Oreochromis niloticus: one gene and its partners. The protein of the gene in region 2 purifies or fractionates together with the protein of the main gene of each other region. This does not show direct contact. Links are inferred from orthologs where the notes say so. Each region holds a gene or a part of one and is shown on either strand. Other genes may lie near its edges.

Region 1 (6,370 bases), on a different chromosome or scaffold from region 2:
ATAAAATAAAATAAATAACAATGTTTCAGAATCTGAGGGAAACTACTGGTGGATTTGGATGATTCTGGTGCATTTCCATGTATTCCTTATTCAGTCCAAGTAAAACAGGACAAGTCTTACCAGCAGCTTGGTAAACAGCATGTTGAGGTTGGCCTCCAGCTTTTCCATATCTCCACAGAACGGACTCATCTCAGCCAGCAGCTTTAGCACCTACACAGAGACAGAGAGAGAGAGAGAGATTAGCAGATCTCAGTAATATGTAATATGCATTGCTAATGAGAAGCACTGTTACATGGTGCAGACTAACGACCCATTAGCAACATGCATTTGGCTAACACCCCTAACAGGTGGCTGTCATGCTGCCTTTGTTTACTACTACAACCACTCACCAAATGTCAAATGTTATGAATCTTGACCTCACACCAGTCACCATATTTGTCATGCCAGTCTACTTGCTTTGTGTGCACCGCTACTGGCAAAGCACCAGCAGAATGTTTTGGGTAGAATTACAGGTTTTCCACCAGAAAAGTCTGAGAGGGTGTGATCTGAATGTGGCTGAGGAAGTTTATGTTGTACTCAACATAGTGCCATCAATTTGCATATTAGGTGCTCTCATCTTTAGAGATCTCAGAGAGGGACACTAAGCAGGTTGATTTCCTCTTACAAGTTAATACTGACAATAAACAACCGTATACAACTACATAAGAGTGAGCGTGACACACTAACCAGCATTACATTTTAAACTCACTTCAGGATCACTCATTTACAGTTTAAAAAGGTACTCACTTCCAACTGAATGTCCAACTCAGCCACAGGACTTGTCAGGGTGCTGAGGTTTGGCAGGACGTGTTCACAGAAGTAGGTTACAAAACGTGTGGAATGGACATTTTTCTACAAGAGACAAAAGAGAGACAGGAAAAAAAAACAAAAACAAAAAAATGACTAATTATATAAAGTAACATAACTCAAAGTAAAAGTTTTAACTGAATAGACCGATAAAACAAAAGCTTCTTATAATGAAATGATCTGATTTTAAACACCTCTGCTTTAAAGTGCATAAGTTACTTACAGAGAACAGCGGTAGGGCCTGGCGTGTGCACTGCAGCAGGCGGTCCACAGTGTCGGGGTCAGCTGGGTTGAGGGCCTGCTCCAGGAAAGCTTGCTCCACCACCAGCTCCACCAGCTGCTGCCTCCCATTTACAGTCTGCAGTACCCGTAGACCCGACACTACACGCATCAACAGCACAAACTCCTCTCCTGTCACATCCTCCATCACCTGCAAAGAAGACAAACAACTGCTCAGAATGTGTTCTTATCTTGGATGTGTTATGCAAAAATGTTCATTTGTGACTTTTTGCAACTTGTCGGTTTTTGTTCCTGCAGCCAACCAAAACTTGGTCAACAAAGATTTTTTTTGCAATGCTAAATGTATGGTCCAATACCTCCTGGACAGCTTTAGTGTCAACATTAAAAAAATTTCAGATTTCCCCCAACAAAGGACCACTAAGGATAGCTCAGTTTCAATGAAAGTAGCCCATAGGCAAGTGAGAGAAACTCACCTCTGCTTTTTAAGGTCATACCCTAAACAACTGCACTTAAATGGATTAAACAAGAGTTGAGTGATTCACATCACAGGTTCACTAGTCAATGTCATTAATTAACAAAACAAAGGCAAAACTATCAGCCACACCCAAAACAATCAGTACTCTATACACACCCCTAGTCCGGACAGCCATGTGTCTTCTCATGTAAATTACCCGTGTTACATTCAGGCACAGAGAAACTTACACCTGAACGATCACTCGTTAATCTACAAACCTTCTTTGTTTCGGCAAAGACGTACTCCTCCACCTCCTTTGTCATGACATCCTCTGGCAGGGTCTTCAGTTTAGTTGATAGAAACTTGATGGCCCTTTCTCTCACTATATCCTCTCCCTGCAGGATCTGAGAGAAGAGTCCCCCAAGGGTTCCTGAATGACAAAAAGAAAAAACAATTTAAAAATATTGTGATATATATGGAGTGTCCTCTCTGAATAAACAGGTAACACATGTGTCACAGCATGATATCATGCACAAATATAGTGTGAATATATAAATATATTCTCAGGTAAATGTTTGCACTCCAATATCCCAGGCTTATAAGCTATATGAGATGGATAATCGACCTGATCCTGAGTGTAATTGAGCCCATTGTGCTGGCTCTCAAGATGTAATTGAATGTGATTTGAGTGAGACTGACTGATCAAGCAGGGTTGCAAAGATTTGTACAGAATAAGAATTTTATACAAAAGGCTTTATCCCCATTGCAGCTCTTGATGTTGACCTGCTACTTTGTGTCAGGCTTGTTTCTGTGTTTATGTTGTAAAAATTTAAAGGGTCATTCTATTAAAAACTTTTGCTCAAGTGACATAATATCCAAAATTCATTTTACTTCTTTGGAACCATGGCTGTGATAGGTTAACATTATTTTATTCACACTAAACAAACAAAATAAACAACAACAAAAAAAGTCAGTTTTAATAATTAAAACAGGCCTAGCTACATTTCAGTTTTGCCCCAGGGGAAAAAGAAACTTACCCCTGGCATCCATCTTGAAGATAGAAATAAGTGCTGCATTCACTTGGTTAAACTCTGCCGTATCATCTGGAAGCACAAAAACGTCAACAAACATTAGCAGAGATCAACAATACTGTTGGGGTATGAGTAGCTTTTGTGAAAAATTGTTACCTGTCTGAAGAAGCTGGGTGAGAATATCTGCAACTCTGGGGATGTTGTCACCAGTTGCAAAGCGCGGGAGCTCTTTGATGGCCTGTCGTCGGATCTGGTCAATGAAAAGTACACAGAAAGAGAAATAAAAATTAATACTGTGAACACATTCAATCCCTGAAAGACGTCCAATATCAATCTGGAAACAGACAAATCAAAATTTGCAGCTACTGTTGACGGTATTTAGGTTCATGGCTACATGTGTTAGTTAATACTCACCGAAACATCCTCATCTTCACAGAGATCTAGTTGGGCATTAATAGCTGCATCTGCAAGTTCAGGAAAGCTGCTGAAGAACTTGGGAATAAACTGTGCTGCCAGACGCTTCTCCTTGGGGCCACCCTTCACACCATCCACGATTACCTGGTAGGCATCCTTGTGCTGCAAAATGATGGTACATTACAGTCTACATTACACAATGAGTCTTTAATAACGCTTTCATTTAGCTGAGATTTATCATTGTTTCTGTAGATCACAACAAATGAACACGTATAGTATAACATCCTAAATGAGATAGATCGCGGTGAAATCTGAATCAAACTATAGCCACTTCCCATTTGTGGCCTAAAGTATTTTGCGAGTGGAAAAGTTTAAACTTCAACTTAAAAATAATGAATGTAGTAGTAAACTTGGTTTGGCTTATGGATCGCCACGGCGAAGCTATTAACATTAGCCCGGTCATTACTATAACTAGCTACAGTTAGCTTAGCACACACAAACAAATGTTATGTAAACCAGAAAAGTTAGCAACGTTGAAAGTAAAACAATACACTGCTGCAAGGTAACAGAACTATGTTCAGTTTAAAACATACTAGGCGACGTTTATTTACCTGACTGAGGTTGTCCTTGGCATCAGCAAGGATCCCGTAGCTACGATAGAGATCCTCAATTGTGACCGCCATCAGCGTGATTTCAAGTGACTGCTGCTCACAGATAAGACCTCTGAAAAATCCACAAAGTAAAACCCGTCGCAGGTTGCTTTTGCTCCGCGTCGGACGACTGCGAAACAAACAACGCCGTAATGTGGAGAGTTATCTTGTCAGGAAACAGGACGGAAAGATGAAATTTCGAGAATTCCGTGAATGAATACCCCCTACTGCCTGTCTTCTTCGCGCTACTCTCTGGCGTGCTGGCTAAAAAAGCTACGGAATACCGAGTACAGCGCATGCGCGGGTTTGGCCAATCGCATAGCGCCAGCAGGCACGTGACATGAGTGTGCGCCAAATCGATGCGCACAAACTACTCATGTTAAGAAGAGGTGTGGTCTGTGGACCTAAACCTAGCATAAACAGGTAATACCTTAACTAATAAGTACGGGTAACGTAATACTATTTTTTTTGGGTGTAATGCCCCTTATATATAAATATTTTTTTGTTTTACACTGCTTGTATAGGCATATACTTACACATTTATGTTTCTTTTAAAAAAAAAATATTTCTAATCAGCCACACAAAAGTTCTAGTTGCACAAAAGGAAGGAGGCAGTGGTTTAAGGCTGAATGCCCATCAGTTTGTAGCATGTATTTGTATATGACCACATGGCAAAGTTACAGGTCTTAATTTAGTCTTTGGAAATAAAGACCCAGGTTCATAGAGCTTTCTTTGTCCATCCGTAACCAGTTTTGTGGCATACTCAGGGTCAGCTCTCACTAATGTAATGATAAGAAAAAAAGGAAAAAAAAAACAGAGATCACAACAGAAAGTCAGTGCAAATAGTTTTATTGAACTAAACTGGTTGCAACAATTCTGTACAAGCAATTATCTGGCAGGAAAGAAATGCAGTTTCATAAGAATCTGATTCCCGCTCCAAACTGGACCCCGTCACATATCCTGCAAAGACAATAAAGAATCATTGAAATGTAGTTGAAAGACACTTATTATCTTATTTCTGTTGCACATCATTACAACTGCAATGTCATACAGAATTTTTTTAAGTAATCCATTTCTTAATTTTCCTATAGCAATGTTCTGACACTGTTTCATACTTGCCAAACTTAGAGTGATAAGTTCTTTAGTGTCACATTTAAACAGATCTGTAATGTACAGTAAATTAATTAGTGACGTTAAAGAAACCACCACTATACTTAATTTGATTGTTGTCAGTTAGACTGTGTTGCTCTTTTCAGACTAAAATTCATCATTCATCATCTATTTACAGCAATTCTATTGGCCTAATATGTCTTTAAAGAAACCGTAAAGTCCCAATCAGCTTATCTTAGACTAGCTGATGTAATTAGCATTACCTGTCTCCACTCTGGACTCCCATGGGAATGCAGTAATTCAGCTCAAGCCTGGCAATGTTCCCCAAGCGCAGCACAATGCCCAGTCCATATGACCAACGTATACATTCAGCCAGTTTCTTCAAATGTGCTTGTGGACCCTCACCTGAGCAAAAATGTACATATGAACTCAACCATATAGGCAAATGCATGTATTCATAATCTGAGTAATACTTGTCCTAACAACATAAAATCCCAATCTGCTCTTGATAGAAATAAGTTTAAGAGAGAGATAAGATAAGATAAGATATATAATAGAATAAGATACTATATACAACAGAATAAAAAACACTATGTTGTCAGAAAACAAAATTACACTTAGTGTTATTGCACATTAACCAAGTTCAAAGTGAGCCAAACTGAATTAAAAAGTTCAGTCACAAATCTCAAGGTCTGACCAAGATCTAGCATGATTAAATAACAGGTGCTCAACTGTTTTAAAAGCTCACCATAGTTGAGGTTACAAAGGTTCCCAGCATTGAGGAAGAAGTGGGTTCGGAAGAGGTCACCAAAGCCTCCCATGCCTGGTCTGAAGGGTAGAGGGGTGTAGAGGTGGAGGCCTCCAGCCCAGTAGGCTTCTCCCCCCAGGTAGTCGCCTGCCATACCAGTAAAGCCAGCACATAACCTTTCAATTAATCATCAAACTTCATTCTGTTACCAAGCAGCTTATCTGAGGTAATGCCTCACCTTCACTCTGTGGGCCCATACTGGTGGGGCCGCCAAGATAGAACCTAGAATATCAAAAAAGTACAAAACACACAAAAAATTTATATTAAACTGAACTTTATATGTCTTTCCCTATAGCAATCGGAAAAGGCTCCAGCCCACCCGCAACCCTGAATTGGATAAGTGGAAGAAAAGGATTGATGGATGGTTTTAGGAATAAGACCAGATAGTTTCAAATTTTGAGCCACACCAGAGTCAGACAGTCATTAAGGGAGTCAGATAAATCTGCTTTGAATTAGAAAAAAATATGCTATTTGTAACTCCAGAAGCTGCCCAAGTTTCCCATTTTAAAAGTGATCTTTTAAAGATTTAAATGCTAACCCCTATAGCTGTTTATGTAGACAAATATGGACAGCAACATCACTTTCAACAGTCTAATTTACAAAGCTCTAGGACAATCAAACCTCTGGTTAATAATGCCAGTGTGCTGTGAGTTTTTACCTGTCTGCTATACTTGTTGGCTTATCACCAATGGGTAGAAGCAAACCACCCCACAATGAGGCAGAAAGGACCTGAGGGAAAAATTCAGTGTTTAGTCAAGTTGAATCAGCAAAAAGAGGCCAGCTGTTAACAGGCTATTTTTTCATTACCTTATTATTG
Region 2 (6,370 bases):
TTAACCCTACACGTAACGCAGACAACCCAACATGTAGTAACATTTCTCTTATGAGGTTATGTGGAAGGTTTTGGTGCAGCGTTGCTTCTTACGCCGTAGATTTCCCGCTAAAGCATAATTCAGGCATCACACTTCAGATGATGTTGCACTACCACGTGGCAGAAGTGTCGCAGAAGCAACTCTCTGCTCTGCAGCACTAAAAATACAAGCTGAATCTATTTTTAATAAAAGCAGGGTCGAGGTGCACTGTGCAGATGAGATGGGCGGGAAGTGTGACACTGAAAGTGAATACGTAATCTACTTAAATCTGAAATGAAAAACCCAGTGAACACCAAGCACTCTAGGCCTGTCAAATTTAATAACACAACTGAATAAAAAGTAACAAAATTTAAACAAACAAAAAAACAAAACTAAATTTTATTCACTTCCCATAACTGAATGCGACTCCCTGCTTCCTTAAGTGGCACAGAATGCAAAGCTGGATTTCCAACGATTTACCCGTCGCTGCTGATACTAAAACATATTCCAGTAGTTTTGAAAGTTATTATGAATCAATTTGTGACAGCACTACACAGAATGCTTTTTACAATAGTGCGTTCCTTGTTTTGCACTTACAATATGGTACACAGTTTAAACATTTTATTGTTGTCCTCAAAACTGCATCTCCCAACAAAGAAATCTGCTGGTTATAAGTCACCTATGAAATCTGTTGTTTGCATTTTAATAAGGAACATCATGATCCCAGAAATTCATTAGTTTGTACCAATACCAGTAGAATCACACAGCTGGATAGCGAAACAAAATGACTGGCTGATGCCAGGTACTTAAACTGTTACTAAAACGTTTTAGAATTCTGATCATGTATTTAAATGTTGACATTATTTTACTGACAAGACGCAGACTGAAATGGTAGGATGGCTGCCGAGTAGCCCATTAGTCTTACTAGCAGTGACTGTAACTCGTGTTACAGTTATATTAAGTGAGCACAAACATTTCAAGGTTATTTTACAATGGAGAGTCTCAAACAAAAAAAGCAGTAATCTGTGATTCTGGATAAGTAGGACAAAACTTTGGATGTTGTCATTGTTAACTTAAACTTCCTCAACTTGAACTTTATGAATAGCTCTGGATACCTGTCTTTCAGGTGCCTTGCTAAATTGGAAATCCAAACATTGTTTGCATATCGCCTCTTGCTAATCAATTATCTCAGATTTTGCAGCCACCTGAATGCAAAGCAGGTTCACAGCAGACTCTGCCTTTCTTACAAAAGAGACGGAGCAGAGGTTTGTGGCAGTTAGGCACAAGTTTCCATCTTTCACCTGTTCTTTAAGCTGTAGCTTTCAATTTTTCTGGTTCTTATAAGGACAATAGAATACCTGTAACCACATCCTGCCTCCTTCAGTTTTGGAAGAATTTCTGCCTCCTTGCATAAGCTGACTGTGGTAGCAAAGAAAGACGAGCACTACTACATCTCAAAAATCCTGGTATCAAAATGGTACCATGGGTATTGATTCTGTTGGCATTCCCTAGCTTTGACTAAGACTGATTTTGATCAATCTTGTTTGTGCTGTCTCACAGCTGGCTCTGACTTCAGCTAAGTTAAAAAACAAAACAACAAAAACATTTGGACCTCTATCAGCCTTTATTGGCTTGTTCATTAATTACCAGACTAATAACATTCATAGCCAATAAATGAAAAGCTCAACATTGAAGGCACTTCTTTGTTTCTTTTATTGAACCCAACCCATGTAAACAATTAATTTACTACACAGTCAAAGCATGTTAAACACACATACTAACCTGTCCGTCAACGGGTTCGATCTGTTGCAGGGTCGCCAACACAAACACAGCCGTCTTGCCCATACCAGATTTGGCTTGGCACAGAATGTCCATGCCCAGGATAGCTTGTGGGATGCATTCATGCTGCACTGTGTTTTTAAACGACACAACACAAATATTAATGTTAAGTACAGTCTTATTATTACCTGCAAATCAATTACTTTGAGTTGCTATAAAGAGCACAAGAGGAGTGGCAGTCCTGCTGGGAGTGGTGCATTTTTTTTAGACACACAAAGCAAGTCAAGCTACTCAAAAACTCTTAATGTAGGTAAGCAAGATAAGGTGAGCACTGTTTAAAAATATGCAGACTTACAACTTCTGACTGGTGCTACCAGTGTAGTGTAAGAGTATGCCATAAACAAACTCCATTGCCAGTTCCCCGCTAGTCCCATTTAACAAAAGGTACCAGAACAGTTGAATGCGTCTCACCTTCAGATGGATGCTCAAAACCACAGTCAATGATGGCCCGGAGAAGCTCCGGCTTCAGAAGAAAATCCCTGAAGCCAGAGCTGTGGATGGAAACATAGGAACCTTTCACCTCCTTCTTGCCTGCTGGGGTTGCACTCTCGGGGGCTCCTTGAGGCTCCTCATCCTCTTCATAATCAAGGAGCTCGTTGTCAACGTCATTCTCAGCCATTGTATTTGTCTGGAACAAAGAAAATACAGCTGAGTATTAATGATCACTATCTTTCATCTGTGTCTGTAAGAGAAGGCGCGCTTTGCTTAGATTATATGAAGCGAGGTTCTTATTCGAGCCCACTTGTTGGACATATTTTAATACATTTAAAAAGTCGTTTTTTATTCTATCATTACAAGGCGTTTTTGACTTTGTGCAACTATGAAAATCGTGGTTGGTGATAAACGTGACTCCAAACATTAGCTTTATTGTGTATAACTCGAACTCCATTTTAAAGAGTAAGCCTGTGATTAAGAAATGCTAAGCAATTAAGAAAACGCAACAAAGCGGGCCTAAATATGAATACGCTGTAGTGTTTTGTAAACAGAAACTATTCTCTACGACCACGTACACTCAATATAACAAACAAGGTCAAAACCGTAACCGACGATGTCAAATAGACCAAACCGGTTAGCTTCTAAGCGCATACAACACTAGAAAGCCATTGTGTTGCATAACCATTGCTAACGTGGCAAGCTAATCCTCTACACGACAACAACTGATCCGCTACGACCAACTAAATATTCCCAACAGCATAGGCAGGCGATCTTTTCGTAACTGTAACGGGAGTGTTATATGAACGACAAAAAGGCGGCATATTTCGTGTAAATACGGAAATCTAAGTGGCGATTGCTTTGCTAGGCTATCAAATGCTAGGCTACAAAACGCTAAGTAACACCGCCCCCTGAAACAAACAACGAAAGGTTATTTTTAGCGATAGCAAACACTACTTCAGCCCAAATTAAATAAATATAATTTACAAGCTTCTGTGGGTGAAACGAGACGCGGAAAGCCGCCCAAGCGGGACAATGAAGTAGTTCAAGAATTCCTACCGTTTCAGTGTTAGCTTCGACTGCCCCGATAGATCACAACCGCATGGAGAGGCCTCAGTTGGTTTATACCACCAACCGGAAGTTCCGCCTCGGCTAAAGCGGGTCGATATCATTGGCCCGTTTAGGCGACCTCTGTGAAAAGCAGCCTGTGATTGGACAGAAAGTGTGCCGCAGTCCGTCGCAGTTGAAAAAAGCGGGACACGGTTGTAGCTGCTCTCCGTAGGGGAGCTCGGGAGGGACATGGGAAATAAATCAATACAGTCACGTTTTGCTGCAATATAAGTATAAAATTAACCGTGATGTGTTTGCGTATGATAATGCAGGCCTGTGACCTTAAATATAAAACAGCTTCCTGGAATTGATTCAGATTGGTTCAATTTTGTTTGTTTTTGTTTCACAGAAATCGTTAAAATTGTATGAAATGTAGAAATTTAAGTCGCGCGAGGCAAAACTCCTCTCCAGGATGTGATATTAACAGTGTGAAGAAATTCGGACTCCATCAATAAAAGTATATGTAACTGTGATTTCTACGTTTCCTTGCACAAGTCTAAATCAAGCTTTAATTCTGGAAACATTAAACACTGAGAATTAAAAGGCTTTAGTGCCCTCTAGTGGTCACAATGGACACAGTGTGGTCCAGCATTAACGTCGTTGAAGCATCATTAACGCTTATAACCTTTTATTAAAATCATAATTACGAATAACAAACGGGGAGCCAAGGACTAATAATAACTGTATTAATAACGAGAAGTAGCAGCATTTCCAACTAGACATGGATACACTGGCATCAGGTCTCAGCTTTCATAATGCTTAATAAATACTTTTGTACAGGAAGCAATCAGGAAGTATCTGCAGATCTGCAGAAATCTTTACAAAATAATAAATTTTATTGCTCTGTCGTCTATAAAATCACACATTCTTTAACAGGAAAACTACAGATTCTTTAACAGGAAAACTACAGATACAGAATGACAAGTAGTGTTCTTTAAAGCGGTGCTGAGCAGGATCAATGTCCACAAGGCTGCAGGTCCTGATGGCATCCCCGGGCGTGTTCTCAGAGCGTGTTCTGGGGAGCTTGCAGGAGTCCTGACAGACATATTCAACCTGTCCTTTGCCCACGCTGTGGTACCGGCCTGCTTCAAATCCACCTCCATCGTCCAGATACCCAAAAACTCCAACCCATCTAGCCTCAATGACTACCGCCCAGTAGCACTCACCCCCATCATCACTAAGTGCTTAGAGCAGCTGGTCCTAGCACACTTCAAATCCTGTCTCCCCCCCCACCCTGGACCCCCACCAATTCGCATACCGCCAGAACAGGAGCACAGAGGATGCAGTCTCCATCACACTGCACTCTGTCCTCTCACACCTGGACAACAACAACACCTACGCCAGAATGCTGTTTATAGACTTCAGTTCAGCATTCAATACAATCCACCCCTCACAACTCATCAGGAAACTGACAGACCTGGGCATCAGTTCCCTCATCTGCAAATGGTTACTGGACTTCCTGACCAACCGCCCCCAACATGTCCGGCTGGACAACCGCTGCTCATCAACAATCACAATGAACACCGGTGTACCACAAGGCTGTGTGATGAGCCCTTTCCTCTACTCCCTCTTCACCCATGACTGCAGACCTGCTGATGGTTCCAACACCATCATTAAGTTTGCAGATGACACCACGGTGATTGGCCTCATCAGTGACAACGATGAGACCGCCTACAGGGAGGAGGTGGATCGTCTGGCTGAGTGGTGCAACAGAAACAACCTGCTGCTTAACACTGAGAAGACCAAGGAGCTCATCGTGGACTACAGGAGGAATGCTGACCCACATCCACCCATCCACATTAAGGGGACGGCTGTGGAGAGTGTGAGCAGCTTCAAGTTCCTGGGTGTCCACATCTCCGAGGATCTCATCTGGACGACCAACTGCTCCAAGCTGGTCAAGAAGGCTCACCAGCGCCTCTTCTTCTTGAGGCCTCTGAGGAAGAACCACCTGTCCTCAGACATCCTGGTGAACTTCTATTGCTGCACCATCGAGTGCATCCTGACCAACTGTATAACAGTCTGGTACGGGAACTGCTCTGCCTCGGACTGGAAGGTGTTGCAGAGGGTCGTGAAAACTGCCCAGCGCATCGCCGGAGCACCACTTCCTGCCATAAAGGACATCTACAGGAAGCGGTGTCTGAAAAGGGCTGGGAAGATCATCAAAGACCCCAGTCACCCATCACATGGACTCTTCACCCTCCTGCCCTCTGGGAGGCGCTACAGGAGCCTCCGGACTAAGACCACCAGGTACCGGAACAGCTTCTTCCCCACAGCTGTCAGACTCCTGAACTCTGCCTCCTGACATCTGACCCACGTTAAACTCATGGACTGAACATACACACACCCACAACCACCTACACCCACACACACAATGGACAACCGTACCCTCAAACACACAATAATAACATGGACTGAACCACCACTCACAACCACTAGCACTTTATATAGCCTCTGTAGAAATTATCCACATATCTCACTTATCTTAACTGCACTACTGTATAGTTCTGTGTAAATAATCATTCTGTACATACAATAATTTTTAATCCTACAACTGTTTATAACTTGCATAGTTCACATTTCTGTATAACTGTATATCTCATATTTCTGTATAGTTTTTATTTCATATTCTGTATAGTTTTTCATATTTATATCCTGTTCATAGCCTGTACATAGCTTGTACTCACTACAGCCTGTACATACTTATAGTTATAGAATATTCATAACATACTTCATACCGTGTACATTATAACATACCATAATAGACCCATTTCTGTAATATACTTACATATCTATATTATTGCTAACATATATTGTAATATATCTATATCACGACTAAAGCACTTCTGGATGGATGCAAACTGCATTTCGTTGCCCTGTACCTGTGCATGTGCAATGACAATAAAGTTGAATTCTATTCTATTCTATTCTATTCTATTCTATTCTATTCTATTCTAAATGTATTAATGGAGAT
Region 3 (6,370 bases), on a different chromosome or scaffold from region 2:
CATCCTCCTTTTCTTCTGTGTGCTATAAACACAGTAACACATTTAACATTCACAGTTTTTGATTACTTCTAAAGTGCTCAGGGTCAGAATCAGATCTTTACCTTCTGGCCGAGAGTGCTTTCTTGTTCATTTTTGTTGAACACTGTTATATTGTCTAGATTAAACTGGCTCTGGAGATTTAGACCTGGAAAGCAAACAAAATAAAAAGAAGAATCACTCGAACAGAGAAGCTGTGAATGGGGTTGCCAGAGTGCCATGAATGATTGCAAACCTCATCTTCAAAAGGTTTATGTTGGTTTATTTATTTATAATGATAAAATACTGCTGTTCTTACCTGATTTTTCAGACAGAGGGAAGAGACGTGCCAGGAAGAGCTGGATTCGCCCGCAGAAAACTGTGTTCTGAGATTTGGACAGCCTCCTTAAGAGATCTACACAGACAGGAAAATACACTGCTCTGCATTTTAAAGATAAAAAGCTTCATATGTCACAAAATGATGAGATAACCTCTTTACCATTGCACATCCTCAATAAATAATTCTTCCCTGCAGTGTAAAAGGAGTTCTGTAAGAAAAATAGAGCACAGCTTTGGTAAACATGTGATCAACGCAGGACAAATTTGTGGGGGCCTTTACTCAATAGCTGGAATTTATTTACCGATTTCCAGGTGGAGACGTTCTCTTCGACAAAAGAGAAGATTTTGTCACACAGGTCCAAAGGAAGACAGTCCAGCACGTCTCCCAGCAGGACGAAAGGGGTCGTAGCAGAACAGATACCTGCAGTGGACCACAAGTCTTTTAAGTTTCTTCATACATGACACATTGTCTCTAAGACTTACAGAAGATTACCTTAGCAGTCTGCTTGCAAAATGCATGCTTTTAATTAGAGATGGCACGATACCACTTTTTTTTATGTCCGATACCGATATCATAAATTTGGATATCTGCCGATACCGATATGAATCCGATACAGTGTGTTTTTTAATCAATAAAACTGTTTTTTTAATATCTTGCTGCATTTTGTATAAGTTCATCCTCAAGTTTAAATAAACAACAACACTAAAGCTATTCTGTATGTAAAAAATACACTGCGCCCAAAATATTTCATAGTTCAGCAACACTGATCAATCTAATAAACTTAATCCTCCCTATTCTGGTATTTTAAAGAGTACTTAGCAGAAATATTAAGCAACCTAACTAACAGGGTTGCAAACTCCCAGAAAAAAAAAAAAAATAGGGAACCACCCACCCTCCACCTCATGATGCTTAATCGATGTAATCAACTTTAATTTGATGCAAGGTGGAAAAAAATGCACAGAAATAAATTATTTTTCAAGAATAATTAAATAGATTCAACATCTTTCTTCAACAGAACTGCAGACTGCACAGATGGTACCTTCTCAAAGAAAAAAGTACTATAGCTTATTAGGGTATATTAGACTTAACAGTTACTATATACAGTAATGGACTTCTATACATTTTACATCAGATTAAAACTTTGGGTGTAAGATTCAGATAATTATTTATTAAAAGCTAGACGTTTTAAATGAGAATAAGAAAGAAAAGTATGTCTTTGTGCCCCCCTTTTCCCTGTTAATGCCCTATCGGCCCCCCTGGCTAAACTTTGCTAGATCCGCCCCTGCACAGTTACCAGCGGTCAGCTACGTAGAAAAGGATCCTGGTGTAGAAAGTAATATTAAATAAATTCTAACAACAGCTTATCAAGCTTAAACGTGCTGCTGTTGTTCAGCCGCTGGTTTCCTCCTTCTGGTGCAAAGTGGACCAAAAACAAAGAAGAGAGACGGACTCACGACAGAAAAGCCGATCAGCTGATCATTGATCAGTTTCACGATTGAAGTAGCCGCAGGAAGGTGAGGGAGAGAGAGAGAGGCAGTCGCTCCATATATCGGTTGTTAAGCTTAACGCGGGAATGCTTTACAAACATTCAGAGATGAACTTACACACTTGCTTTACTTCTCTGTGGGATAACTTCCTCGGAGATGAAATGTTGGTTTGGTAGCGAGGCTACAAATACACACAGCTGCTCTATCACGTGATGCATACTGCTCCGACGTGCTACGGTTATGAGCCGAGTTACGCCGTGTCGCAAGTTTTGTGAGGTGTTTTTTTTATATTTAATGGATCGGATTACATTTTTTATTTCTCTCCGATATCCGATCCAGTAATTTAGGTCAGTATCGGACCAATACCGATACGTAATATCGGATCGGTCCATCTCTACTTTTAACAAATAGGGGCAAGTGGATCAGAAGCATATCTGTAAACCCCCCCCCACAGCATAACAGACCTGCCAAATTGCCTCAGTAGATGTGCAATAGGGATTTCTCACACATGTATGTCCAAAAAGGATTTTCTTTGGCTATAAAAGTATGGTATCAATTGGGACGCACACATATATCAGCCACATGCTACTATGTGCTCATTTTGAGTGATGTATGCTATGAGAATAATAGGAAATAACTTGGCATTCACAAGGCAGTGGCTGATATTTATATGTTGTGTCACAGATTTTTGCACTGGCTGAATGTTCAAAGAGAACATTTTAGCTCTTTAGTTCATAGAGAACTAAAGAGCTAAAACACTAATCAAAAAGTGTTTTTAGTTTTTATTTATGGTACAGGTTTCTTTCCCGGCACAAAAGGAATAAACTTTTTTTTTTTTTTTTTAAATCTTAAAAATCAGTGTATCACCTGGATCTACTTATGAGACCCCTAGTTGAGTAACATACCTTCTGTAACGCCATCAATGCTCAGGTAAATGAGAGCTAGGTAGTCATCACACCTCAACTTTTGCTCAACCTGGAAACATTTGAATATATCGTTTGAGGATTTTGAGGGTAATTTAATAAAAAAAAATTGAACAAACGCGTACTAGAAACAAACAAACAAAAAGCATTTCTTACAATCAGATCACCAAGAACTCCCCTCAGAGCCTGATCGAGGGTTGTCTTCTTTTCCGCCTCACTGTAATGTGAGAAAAACAAGCGATCAGTAAAGTTGCATCCCTTCCTCCATTATTATAGAGTATAATAGCCAACAGAAATAATTACAATACATTAGTTAGCAAGAACTAACAACTTCACTTACTTGCCGGGGATCTGGTTAAAAAATACTGATCAAAGGTTTGATGCTTTTTTCCAGTCAAAGCCTGGACGGCAGACGCCTGAGATTGTGTGAAGAAGAAGAAGAAGGAGAATTAGAAAACATTTATGAAACAAACGGCATCGTTGGTTAGCGTCTGTGTTAGCTTAGCTTCATCTGTTATGGTAACAACACGCGACATGCTACACTAACAAACCCAGGCTAGGATTTTAACTGTGATATAAAATATATAACTGCACATATTTTTATACGTTGCTGAAGTTCTGTGTTTTCTTACCGTAAATTTGTCTTTAGCGTCGACAAAATTAAATGAAGACGGCGACATCGTCTCTTTTTGGCAACCGGAAGTGCCGATAAAGTTGTTCCGGCTTCTTTGAGTGTGGGGAAAAGGGTCGAGAGCGGTGCAGGATTGCATTTAAAATTAATTACAGTCAAGGTGCAATGTGAAAGTTTATGTCTCCAGCGCACTTTCCACCATTAAAAAAAAAAAACAAAAACTTGTATCATGCAAATTATTATGGTAATGGTGTAATTGTTAAACATTTTCCTCACAGTACATCATATTTGCCTAATTGTTAAACTAACACTTTTTAGTGTGCAGGAGAGTCATAATAACAAGGACTTAAGGAATAATGGAGGTCCAGGAGCCTTTGGAGAACATAACCAGATGAGGATAACATTGGCTGTTCACATGGATCTCACACATACACTGAGTATGTAAGAAGTTCTCCTTTGGCCTTTCCCTTTTCTCCTTTCAAACTTTTATTTGTTTGTCTCCTCTGATTTGAACTTTTATCTACATTTTTGATTATTATTATTATTATTATTATTTTTACATTTATATGAACTTTTCTTTCTCTTTCAAGGAACGTGTACTATGGAGAAAACTGAAGACATATAAGGTGGTTTACCCTCCACATCCTTGGAAGCAAGGGGTAGCAATATCTATCAGTACTGGTCACCATAAAAGGCCCAGTAACCATGAAAGACTAGCTACTGAAATTCATGCATATATGCTAAAGTGGACATGAAGATGTGATAGGGAGATACATGACTTTCTTACATGTCATATCAAAACCAAAACGTATGAAAGAAATATTTTAATATATTGTGCTGGATGCCTTTTCTTTTTATGGAGGATTCCAGATGAAATAGAAAATTTTACTTCTAGTGTACACTTTATTTCTTCATAACTGTGGTCTGAACAAAAGGATGGAAAGGTAGATTCCTACTAAAAGTGGCACAATGCAGAAACATCTCTGTGTCCTTCTGTGTGGTATTAGGCAGCTGATGGATTGTTGGGAGATATGGGCACCCCTTCTGCTTTAGATAGCCATGAAAAAAGGTGTGGCGCTGATGACAATGTGTCATCTTTTTGGCTTGAACTGAAGGGTTTTGCAAAGGCACTGGAAACCCTAATGAAAACACGAGCCTGGCTGTACCACCGTTGGGTGCAAGTATGGTGCAAACAAAACCTCTAACCGTACCCACTGTCACTGAGCAACATTCAGTTATTCTCTCCACTTTCAAACTGTGTATACAGAGATGAACAATAATAGCCTAGATTTATATAGTGCCTTTCAAGAAACCCAAAGCCAAAAGAGTCTAAGTAAGTCTACATTAGTCTTAGTTTAGGAAACAAGGGGTATGGTGAATTTTACTTTTCCACTGCACAACATTATTTGAAAACTTTATCTGATCAGTGCATATGTTGTGGAGATTTGTAGAAACCACTTTTTGTGATTCCTCAGAATCTGAAATAGAAAGACATTTTTTGGTGTATGTATTCAGTCTTTGTAACCTGTAACTCCTGGGAGTCACAGGTCCAGATTCTCTGTGAAAAGTTAAAAACTGGGACAGGCGATTCTCACAGACGAAAGCTTGGATTCAAAAAGTGTAAAAATGAGTGTAAGAATTTCCTTCAGTTTCCAAAAACTGCAGCAATGGCTCACTTCTGTCAGCAAGACATTGTCTAGCTGGTGACATTAATGGTTATCTTAGAAAAACAGCACAAATCTGAGGAAAAAATCTCTTGTGAGCTTCAATTTAAGCTTTAATTTAGTCCCAAATCTTACTTTAAGAAAGCAGTTTATATCACTGTGGACTAGGCTAAGTCTAGGACTTTCTCATACCAGTAATGAGAAAGCTAATTTATGCTAAATTGGTTTAAAAAGATGTTTTAGCTTAATTCATGTCTGGGAAACCACCTCTTAATGATTTAACAGCATGATTGCACTCAGTGTGGCCATGTGGATAAATCCAAGTTAGACCAGAAGGCGGCAGTGTTTCATACCATTTAGTTCCACGTTGCAGTTAAAAGCAGGGGGTGTCAAACTCTGTTTAGTTAATGGACCACATATAAGCAGTTTGATCTCAAATGGGCCAGAGCAGTAAAACAATTGCATAATAACACACCTTTAATTCAAGTAAGCAAAAGTTCCGATTTAATAGACCATCTATTTAGAAAACATGTTGAAGCGGTTGAGATAAAAATAAAACAAGTGCAGGTTCAACAGTATGTCTTATTGCATGTGCATTACAGATCACAGTGGATCTAGAAATGCATAAAACCATCAGATGAAGAGATTTGAGGTCTAAAGTACTATACTATTTTTCTCCGTATGACTCAAATAAATTTGTCAAGAATGACAAATCTTTATGCTTTTATATGTCCATGAAAATAATAAAAACTTTAATGAAGTTTTTAAACTTTGTGAATCCATTTAAATTTCTAAATTGGACCCTCTAAAAGCTCCGTGTCCATTTGCATACATGTGGAAGGTGCATGTGTGTATGTTTGTGCTCTCAGCCTATATGTTTGACATTCACTCTCTCCTGGTCAAAGTCCCTTTAGTTTTTTTCTTCCTAATTTCTATACCTGAAGTATAGAGGTGGTACTGAAATTAAAATTCTATTGTAGACGTCCTGCGTAGTTAGAGTTCAGGTCAGGGACAGGCCAGTGTGTTCAGGTTTGGCATTCAGTGTTAATGAGTAGACCTAACGGAGGTCACTGCAGTCATGTTGATGTGTTTTGTGCATGTCTGTCTTTGTGAAGGAACATTTCCGTGTGTTGTGGCCATACAATTGACACTGCAACTACTGGGCTGCAGGGCTTGAATGCTTTGATATGATCTACTGTTCAAAAGGTCACACAGAACAGTGAGCTGTTATGTCAATCATTAATGATCCAGTCTGTCATTGTTTTATTCATAGATTAAAGCTATAGTCACAAAAATGGCTTCTTTAAGTA

The links.
Region 1: the proteins of ddx39ab (region 2) and api5 fractionate together in Homo sapiens (co-fractionation; 3 studies listed by BioGRID, with this or other methods). This does not show direct contact. The link is inferred for Oreochromis niloticus from reciprocal best matches to the Homo sapiens genes DDX39A and API5.
Region 3: the proteins of ddx39ab (region 2) and thoc1 purify together in Homo sapiens (affinity purification with mass spectrometry; 3 studies listed by BioGRID and IntAct, with this or other methods). This does not show direct contact. The link is inferred for Oreochromis niloticus from reciprocal best matches to the Homo sapiens genes DDX39A and THOC1.

What each region holds. Positions count from the first base shown.
Region 1 is NC_031972.2:43,409,512-43,415,881, reverse strand, and holds the start of api5 (apoptosis inhibitor 5), read right to left. Parts: upstream 3,926-6,370; 5' UTR 3,669-3,925; coding exon 3,597-3,668; intron 3,148-3,596; coding exon 2,986-3,147; intron 2,822-2,985; coding exon 2,728-2,821; intron 2,644-2,727; coding exon 2,578-2,643; intron 1,971-2,577; coding exon 1,819-1,970; intron 1,277-1,818; coding exon 1,070-1,276; intron 892-1,069; coding exon 787-891; intron 211-786; coding exon 121-210; intron 1-120. Other genes in the region: samm50 (sorting and assembly machinery component 50 homolog A), read right to left, coding at 4,550-4,595, 5,009-5,150, 5,494-5,640, 5,732-5,775, 6,212-6,282. UniProt on the Homo sapiens protein: Antiapoptotic factor that may have a role in protein assembly. Negatively regulates ACIN1. By binding to ACIN1, it suppresses ACIN1 cleavage from CASP3 and ACIN1-mediated DNA fragmentation. Also known to efficiently suppress E2F1-induced apoptosis.
Region 2 is NC_031969.2:8,104,135-8,110,504, reverse strand, and holds the start of ddx39ab (DEAD (Asp-Glu-Ala-Asp) box polypeptide 39Ab), read right to left. Parts: upstream 3,505-6,370; 5' UTR 3,349-3,504; intron 2,486-3,348; 5' UTR 2,477-2,485; coding exon 2,269-2,476; intron 1,929-2,268; coding exon 1,801-1,928; intron 1-1,800. UniProt on the Homo sapiens protein: Helicase that plays an essential role in mRNA export and is involved in multiple steps in RNA metabolism including alternative splicing. Regulates nuclear mRNA export to the cytoplasm through association with ECD.
Region 3 is NC_031982.2:19,575,824-19,582,193, reverse strand, and holds the start of thoc1 (THO complex subunit 1), read right to left. Parts: upstream 3,486-6,370; 5' UTR 3,446-3,485; coding exon 3,398-3,445; intron 3,308-3,397; coding exon 3,235-3,307; intron 3,131-3,234; coding exon 3,106-3,130; intron 2,983-3,105; coding exon 2,922-2,982; intron 2,818-2,921; coding exon 2,748-2,817; intron 776-2,747; coding exon 657-775; intron 564-656; coding exon 515-563; intron 431-514; coding exon 335-430; intron 185-334; coding exon 102-184; intron 23-101; coding exon 1-22. UniProt on the Homo sapiens protein: Component of the THO subcomplex of the TREX complex which is thought to couple mRNA transcription, processing and nuclear export, and which specifically associates with spliced mRNA and not with unspliced pre-mRNA.